Linked DNA regions of Kluyveromyces lactis. The protein of the gene in region 1 binds, or shares a complex with, the protein of each later gene. Links are inferred from orthologs where the notes say so. Each region holds a gene or a part of one and is shown in the gene's direction. Other genes may lie near its edges.

What was found. Proteins that work in one complex are often made in the same cells at the same time.
Region 2: SPT14 (region 1) and GPI2 share a complex: the UniProt entries of both Saccharomyces cerevisiae proteins name them as parts of the phosphatidylinositol N-acetylglucosaminyltransferase (GPI-GlcNAc transferase) complex. The link is inferred for Kluyveromyces lactis from reciprocal best matches to the Saccharomyces cerevisiae genes SPT14 and GPI2.
Region 3: SPT14 (region 1) and GPI19 share a complex: the UniProt entries of both Saccharomyces cerevisiae proteins name them as parts of the phosphatidylinositol N-acetylglucosaminyltransferase (GPI-GlcNAc transferase) complex. The link is inferred for Kluyveromyces lactis from reciprocal best matches to the Saccharomyces cerevisiae genes SPT14 and GPI19.

Annotation. Positions count from the first base shown.
Region 1 is NC_006039.1:839,544-842,869, reverse strand, and holds SPT14 (phosphatidylinositol N-acetylglucosaminyltransferase SPT14), read left to right. Parts: upstream 1-1,417; coding exon 1,418-2,758; downstream 2,759-3,326. Other genes in the region: KLLA0_C09735g (uncharacterized protein), read right to left, coding at 1-1,003; NIP100 (Nip100p), read right to left, coding at 2,776-3,326. UniProt on the Saccharomyces cerevisiae protein: Catalytic subunit in the complex catalyzing the transfer of N-acetylglucosamine from UDP-N-acetylglucosamine to phosphatidylinositol, the first step of GPI biosynthesis.
Region 2 is NC_006041.1:2,090,672-2,093,569, reverse strand, and holds GPI2 (phosphatidylinositol N-acetylglucosaminyltransferase), read left to right. Parts: upstream 1-1,567; coding exon 1,568-2,386; downstream 2,387-2,898. Other genes in the region: PGI1 (glucose-6-phosphate isomerase), read right to left, coding at 1-327; KLLA0_E23497g (DUF5315 domain-containing protein), read right to left, coding at 864-1,259; TAF5 (chromatin modification protein), read right to left, coding at 2,574-2,898. UniProt on the Saccharomyces cerevisiae protein: Part of the complex catalyzing the transfer of N-acetylglucosamine from UDP-N-acetylglucosamine to phosphatidylinositol, the first step of GPI biosynthesis.
Region 3 is NC_006038.1:89,361-91,653, forward strand, and holds GPI19 (phosphatidylinositol N-acetylglucosaminyltransferase GPI19), read left to right. Parts: upstream 1-1,385; coding exon 1,386-1,781; downstream 1,782-2,293. Other genes in the region: PPZ1 (salt homeostasis regulator), read left to right, coding at 1-707; PSP2 (Psp2p), read right to left, coding at 2,162-2,293. UniProt on the Saccharomyces cerevisiae protein: Part of the complex catalyzing the transfer of N-acetylglucosamine from UDP-N-acetylglucosamine to phosphatidylinositol, the first step of GPI biosynthesis. Involved in cell wall biosynthesis.

The DNA of each region.
Region 1 (3,326 bases):
CATCACCAGTACCGTACTGAGGAATCGCTACTGAGAGTTTCTGTATGACATCACCATCATTTCCAAAGGGCTTTGATATAAAAATAATACCTTTGATACCATGTTTTTCAGCGACAAGTATCTGCTCACTAGGTAAGTTTCCATATTTCATAACGAGAACAGTATTGTCGGAAAGTAACCCGTTTTCTTTCAATGATTGGATATCAGCGACAGTCCCATAATTTGCATATATTATATCGGCATTCTGAATGTTCCCGTTACTGCTTAATGGGTTAAAATTTTCCTTTGATAAAGCAAATTCATGCACTTTATTGTCCGAAGTAGTAACGCTAAACTCAACCTCGTTTGGGAAATTCATATATCCTTGGAACGGAACCTCCTTCATTAATTTTAATCCATTATTTTTGAACGATTCTCTGATATAGTTCGTAATAGCATAATCACCTTTAGTACCAGCTAAATGAGGCATGCTGCTTAAGTATTCCATATCTTCCTCTAACTTCGCATAGTCGATGGAACGTCTCGCGTAATAGATTAATTGGTTTTTATCCGAGAACATTCCGATAGTGGCGGTGCTCTTGCTATTGGGCATCAATCCGCTCATAACCACGGTGTACACAATCACTGACATGAAAAGTATATACACAAATCTGCGGAGGATTAAAGGATTTCCCAGTTTGCTCAAATATAGATCAACCTTCGCAGAAGCCATTTGATATACCTGTACGAGAGGATCGACAACATTGTTCTTCATTGGAAATATCAAATTATCCTCAATTCTGGTCTTTAACCTTTGAAAACGACCCACTGAACTAATAGTATCTTCCTGTTCTATATCAAGTTCCATTGGAAGTATATCAGGACGCGATTCGATGTCGTATTCAGGAGGATTTGGCGGTAGTAAAGATTCATCCAGGTCAACGACATTTTCCGAAGACACATCTGGAAGACTGACATCCTCATCTTGACTGACGCCTTGGTACCGCCCTTGTGCACGAGGCATTTTTCAGGCTTTAACGAAATGCTCTATTCGCTGGCTTAACGTGGACCAACTAAATATGCTTGAAATCTCACTGCTTACTCGATAACCCCTCAAGATAATATTCGGAAGTGTATTGGAAAAGGTTACGTTTCCAAATTTCGAGGTTATTTTAAACCTTCTGTACAAAATACTCATCGAGACAACCAAAGATCGAAAAACAGTCAACAGAAAGTGGTAAAGAGTGAGGAGTGAAAGTACAGATTAAGTAACGCTAAAGTAAAGCATATTGAGAGATTTAAAACTTCAGTGCAATTATACAAATATTCTTTGTATAGTCTAACAAAAGTTGTAGCTCCAAAACGGGTTAATCTGAACGATAAATTGTTTCGATATATTAAACACTTAATTCATATCAAACACATCAATGTCTAAAGAATGGCTGAACAAAAATACAACATAGCTATGGTTTGCGATTTCTTCTACCCGCAGCTTGGGGGTGTTGAGTTCCATATATACCATTTATCTCAAAAGCTAATCAAAATGGGGCACAATGTTTGTGTTATAACTCATGCCTACGGAGATCGAACAGGAATACGATATCTATCAAACGGTTTGAAAGTTTACTATGTTCCATACTTGGTACTCTATAGACAGACCACTTTTCCAACAGTATTTGGAAGCTTTCCTATATTCAGAAATATTTTGATTAGAGAACAGATTGATGTATTACATTCGCATGGAAGTGTTTCCAGTTTTGCGCACGAAGGAATACTACACGCGAATACAATGGGGATACAGACTGTGTTTACAGACCATTCTTTATATGGATTTGATAGTCTCGGTTCAATTCTTGTCAATAAGCTACTAAAATTCACTTTATGCAACATCGATGCTGTCATTGCTGTCTCTCATACTTGTAAAGAGAATATAATACTCCGAGCAAATCTTGATCCAGATAATGTGTCAGTCATACCGAATGCGGTTGTTTCCAGCAGTTTCAAGCCTAGAGATTCAACAATAAAGAAAAAATCTAACAGAATAACAGTAGTGGTGATTTGCAGGTTGTATACCAATAAGGGAGCTGACCTTTTGACACACTTAATTCCAAAGGTTTGTACGAATAACGATAACGTCGATTTCATTGTTGCTGGAGATGGGCCAAAGTTCATTGCATTCCAACAAATGATAGAAAATAATAGGCTTCAGGAACGCGTTCAACTTTTAGGATCTGTGCGACACGAACATGTTAGAGATGTCATGTGCCAAGGGGATATATACCTGCATGCAAGTTTAACTGAAGCATTTGGAACAGTTTTGGTTGAAGCTGCGTCGTGCGGGTTACTAATAGTAACAACATCTGTCGGTGGTATACCGGAGGTCCTTCCTGAATATATGACCGTATATGCCCAGGAAACCTCGGTATCTAGTTTGATAAAGGCGATGAACAAAGCGATACATCGCATAGGACATAGCAAAGTTAATACAACACAATTTCATGAAACTATCGCACAAATGTATGACTGGATGAATGTGGCTGAAAGAACCGTCCAGGTTTATGACAGGATATCTTTAGATGTACGCTCCTTAAACAAGAATTGGGTCGTTATGCTAAAAAAGTATTATAGACAAGATGGAAATTGGGCCAGATTATTGTATGTTCTTTGCGCTATAGTGGAATATATTTTACTCTATATTTTAGAAATTCTATATCCAGCAGGTGATATTGATAGGGTTGTTAAATGGAATTCCCGCATTTGTAGAGACCCTCATATATAATGATTAATGATTAATAATTAATACTCACCTTTGAGCATTTCGTATGTATATGTCACACATAATTCATGAGTTTCTTTCAATTTTGCGAGCCTGTGCTTCCTAATGGAGGTAAACTCATTAGAGATGATAGGGTCTGCTAACTCAATGCACGTCGATAAGATATTTGCCATATTGTTGAAATCATTGAACATGTTTCTACTGGAAAACTGTTTTCGATGAGTATCAAACAATGGTATGGACAATTTGAGGCGAGATTCTTGTTCTTTTCGAAGAATAATCCTCTGTAAATCTGAGATTTCAGCGATCAATGATAATTTATCATTGTTTTCTCTAAGCGATTGGATATTGTTTAATGCCTTTGTATGAAATAAATTATTGGCGTTCTTTATTTCTTGTTCTCTATTGTTGCGATACTGCTGGTACTCCGCCTCCATGTTCACCAATTCATCCTGAAGGCTAGAGTTTCTTGATTTCACTTCTAATAGCTCATTTTTCAAGCTGGATAAGGAACCTTCCATTTCCTTATTCCTGGCATATTTCGACTCAAGAACTTCAATTTTGAGGATTA
Region 2 (2,898 bases), on another chromosome or scaffold:
GTACACAGCACGTCCTTCAGTGAAGTTGATTGGTTCACCGTTGAACATGGCATCTCTCAATGAGGTGACCTTAGCTTCCTTAGCCAATTGGATCAAAGACTTCAAGATTTCATCGTCAACTAAGTTCTTGGAAAAATCAAACAAGATCTTTGAACCATCGTAATTGACAAACGTCTTGGCAAACTTTTCATAACGAGAATTGTCCTTAGCAAACTCGTCCTTAACATTTAGCTTTTTACCCTTTTGTTCGTACAAAGATTGCAATTGGTTCCAGGCTGGCAATTCAGTTGCCAACTTGAAGTCAGAGTAAGTGTTCTTAGAAGCCATTTCTGATATTTGTCTTTTTATTTCTGTTTTAGAATCTATCTTAACAGAACTTTAAAACCTTTTATTGTACTTTACGGTCAGTTAAAAGGTCACTTCAGAATTCAGCGATTAAACCCTAATCACAAATTCCTTTCTACGTGACTCAAGAATACAATCGAAATACCAATTGGAAGAAGCAATTGATCAAGAACCTTCACCAGAGAATATATATATATAAAGAATCCACGATTTAAGTTAACCATTTCCCTCAAATTCGCAGGTGATGGAAAATACCAAATCCTTTTTTTTCTCAACGTTCCTATTATTTTCCATACTACGTTCAATCATCAATTCGTATATCCCATCGTTATTCGGAACAACTTGTAATTTCTGTCAGCTTCCGCTTTTTTTATTTGTTTCGCACCATCCAGTAAACAAATAGTGAAAGGCACGTAGAAGAAACCGGTGGTCCTTGGAAACCTTAGCTTCCACTAATACTCAACAAAAAGTCAGGGTAATTGTGGCACGTGATTCATCACGTGATTTGAAGTATTTATTCAGTTATATCTCTCAATGGTATCTACGATATCATTGATGTGTTTCTGTTGTTCTTCAAGATTTCCTGGGGTCTCTGTTGATTGTCTCTTCATGTGCTGCATCAAGTTCGCATGCATCTGGCGTAAGCGGGTAATATCCTCTTCGAAATTATCCGGGAAAGTAAGGCCAGTATTGCCCTCTCTGGCCATTCTTTTCACATCATCTAGTGTATCTATATCTGTCCATATCCTATCCTTGTCATCCACTTTTGGTGTAGCATGTACGTCGTCTGGAACGGTATCCTTGGGTAAAGTTCTCGGTATGGCTTTAGAATCCGTAGGTCTTCGTTCATTGTTTGAAGATTGCCTGGTTACCTGATCAAACGAATTTGATGTCTCCCTGCTAGATTGATCCATTGGGTATATGTAGCAATGAGTTGAGCAGTAAGTTAGGCTATATCCTTTGTATCTTACTTGTGCGGGTGCTCCCGCTGGCTGTGCTGTGATATTAAGTTGTAATGGATTAGCTTTTTTACGTATCAATCTCTAATTTTAATGATTCGAAAAAGCTAGCGACGACTGTTGAACTGAAGTAACTTCCTGCACTCGCAGAGATTTATCGCGAGTATAGCGGCAAATCTCCAGGTTTCTTTTGTCCAGACTGTAGTGACTATATTGTGCTAGTCGTTTCCCGAATAACAAATTGTCTTCTCTTATAGTTGTTAATGGCTGCGGGGAAACAATGGAAACGGTTATTGTGGTTGAAACAGCCGTTCCCAGATACCTACACTGATCCAAGTTTCTACAAACAATGGGAGAAGTTGAAAATTGAACATGGGCATTTGAGGCCTCACTCCTCGTACAGGTCTGTTTTACTTGATCTCTTCCAGTTTTACCACATGATTATTAATACTATGTTACTCTATATTATATTTGCCTGGTTCTATCATTACAAATACAATCCGATTTTAATTGCTGCCTCAATTTCATCTGTTTCCTTAATAGTTGCCAACAAGAGGGTACCCTGGAAATCCACTATCATCATTATATTTGCAATGTTGACCTTATCTCCAGTGCTTAAATCTTTGTCCAAGACAACTTCGTCCGATTCCATCTGGACTCTATCTGCATGGTTCACAACCTTTTACATCATATCGATCTCCGCTCTTGAATCTAAAATCCTACCGACCAATATTCTACTCTCAAATGTGACCGTACTTTCTTCAAGATTAGATACCTCCACCCAAGTTTTCTGTTTCCTTTTGATATGTATCCAAATTAACATTCTACTGCCGACGATGGAAAAGTATTTCATAAAGAATAAGTTGAAATTCCTGCATATACTATGTGTTATTGCGACACATGGTACAGTCTACTATTTTATAACGAAGTTAATGGGTGTCGGGATCACGATACCTTTGGGAATATCATCTTTGTTACTATTATTTGGAATCCCTCATTACTATATCCACTGGGAAAGCTACTATTATAAAGGACATCCGATTTTACAGCAGTGGGACGCTGAAAAACCAATATTAGATTAGTTATTAGGATTCTGTTAACATTTACATTTCATTGACTGCATTGATATCAATGCACATAAAATATACGTACTCATTGTAAATAATATAAAGATAAAGCGCATTCTCTTTTTTTTTATTTATTACAATTGGACAACTACTAGATATGTCGAATAAACGACCCTTATCTGGCTGAGTAAAGTAATCGCATTTACTCAATAAATGCACCACCAGCCAAAACTAGGTTCGTTCTTGTGAATTTTACTTTGTGAATTGCTGTTTTCTTTGTATGGAACGAAGCCATCAAATCCTGAGTTGGTATTACTGCCCGCCTACGTCCGAATTCTTTGATATCGTTATTTACACTGAGTTCCATATCTCCTGAATACGTGTTGAATTGTTGTTCCGGCTCCATTCCAGGCTCGTTTGTAAACCTCTTTATATCCCAAACTCTAACACTTTGATCCGCACCACCTGTTACTAGACAGTTACCTTCTTTGTTAAAAGTTATGGAATAGATAGGATTCTTACCGTGA
Region 3 (2,293 bases), on another chromosome or scaffold:
TAGAGACAATTCTGCTCTTACTTTGCTATAAAATCAAATACCCTGAAAACTTTTTCTTGTTAAGAGGTAATCATGAATGCGCAAACGTCACAAGAGTTTACGGTTTCTATGATGAATGTAAAAGACGGTGTAATATCAAAACTTGGAAAACATTCATTGACACATTTAACGCATTGCCCCTAGCTGCGATCGTAGCCGGGAAGATTTTCTGTGTTCATGGAGGATTATCACCAGTATTGAATTCAATGGATGAAATTAGACACGTAAGCAGACCTACTGATGTTCCAGACTTTGGTCTAATCAATGACCTTTTATGGTCGGATCCAACAGATTCTCCAAATGAGTGGGAAGACAACGAACGTGGTGTGTCTTACTGTTACAATAAGGTTGCGATCAACAAATTTTTGAATAAGTTTGGCTTTGATTTAGTTTGTAGAGCACATATGGTCGTCGAAGACGGCTACGAGTTTTTCAATGATAGAAGTTTGGTAACGGTATTTTCTGCTCCAAATTACTGCGGAGAATTTGATAACTGGGGTGCAGTAATGAGCGTGAGCGAAGGTTTATTGTGTTCGTTCGAGTTGTTAGAACCTCTAGATAGTACCGCATTGAAACAAGTCATGAAGAAGGGCAGACAAGAAAGAAAGCTAGCCAATCAACAACAACAACAACAACAACAACAGCAACTGGAACAAATACAAGAGTGAAGATCAATATGTTGTTTTCATTACCAACAATCACATATCGATGTCATACTCAATTTAGCATTGGTGGCTTGATTAACAGTCACATTAAATACTTTACAGTGTTTATTTTACATTCTCGTCATTTCTTACCAAAAGAACCATCTCAATGATATCTTATTAAAGGACAGTTATTAGTGAAGAGTCCTTTGGGTGTTTTTGCCATGAGATTCAACAAATATATTTTTCAGATGTTGAAGCTTTCCCTTACTAATCTTCGTCTTTATTCGTAACTACTACTGTGGAGATTAACACTTACATATTCGATTCTAGGAGTTAATCCTAAGTGTTTTCCTCAAAAACAAATCTTTCTAATAATGACTGGCAAGAAAAAGTCGGCAAGTGTTACGGAAAGGACACCAGCTCGAACCGATTCCCAAAAAATCACCTCTTATCTACTATGTGACATTTACCGTTATTTTCAAACATTTTCGTCTGCCTTTCCTATGTCGACTGCGTACGAAACTAAAATAAAAAAAATCGATGAACAAAATCAATAAACACTATCGTTCGTTATATAAATGTAAAATAAGAGAGTAATTTAGTAATAATACCTAACCATCAAATGTTTGATTCCACTTTGATCACTTCAAACCATCTCTAAATATATTAACGCTCATTATCACTTACTTATGTTTTTAAATGAATAAAGAAAGACAGTATGGCGGATTTTCCGTATATGTTTCATCCACATTAGTTGTCTTCTTTATAGTTGTGTGGGCATTCTTACCAAAGATTATACTACAAGGACAAGCCATAGCCGAAGTTTACGAGATATTACCTCAAAGATATTGGTTAATAGCCATCCAATGTCTTGTACTAATGACAATGCTTTTCACTTACGTCGGAATGCTTTCCTATAATATTGACATGTTAACGGTCCCACTTGATGATATGCGAACGATAACTGATACTCAAGGGAGAATAGTTGAATACAAAAACTTCTCGGAGTTAGATTGGTACATCACTAATGAAACTAGCGGTGTTGCAGATTTACCCATAAATGAAGTAAGCCGAGTGCTTTATTTGCAGGAATGATCCTCTGAATCTTCCTTAGAACAAGAAAACAGTATGGGTAAAAATGATGTTGGTGACGTTCTTAAATGTTAATAATGTAATCTATTTAAATGACATCAAATACTATACAAAATATAATGATTAATGATGCGTGAAACGCAAGGGATTTGGATGACAGGAAACTTTTCTTATCCCGTCGTACTTCGTTGGAAGACGAACATATAGATGCTTTCGCTCTACCGAAAGATAATTTCTACGTGAAAATCAGATAGAGATGATGAATAACGAGGAGCTTAGGAGCATATGGTTTCCTTCACTTACGTTCAACTGCACTTCAATGCGCGTTTTAGACAGCGCCAGCATTGCTGCGGAAAATTTCGATATTATGAAAAGGTAAACGCTCAGTCAGTGGAAGAAGAACCACGGCCTCTGCCGCCTCTGCCACCCCGGTCTCTGCCGCCACGACCTCTACCACGACCACGACCACCAGATGAAGAATGACCACCTCTGTTTTGATCCTTCAAGAAACCAGC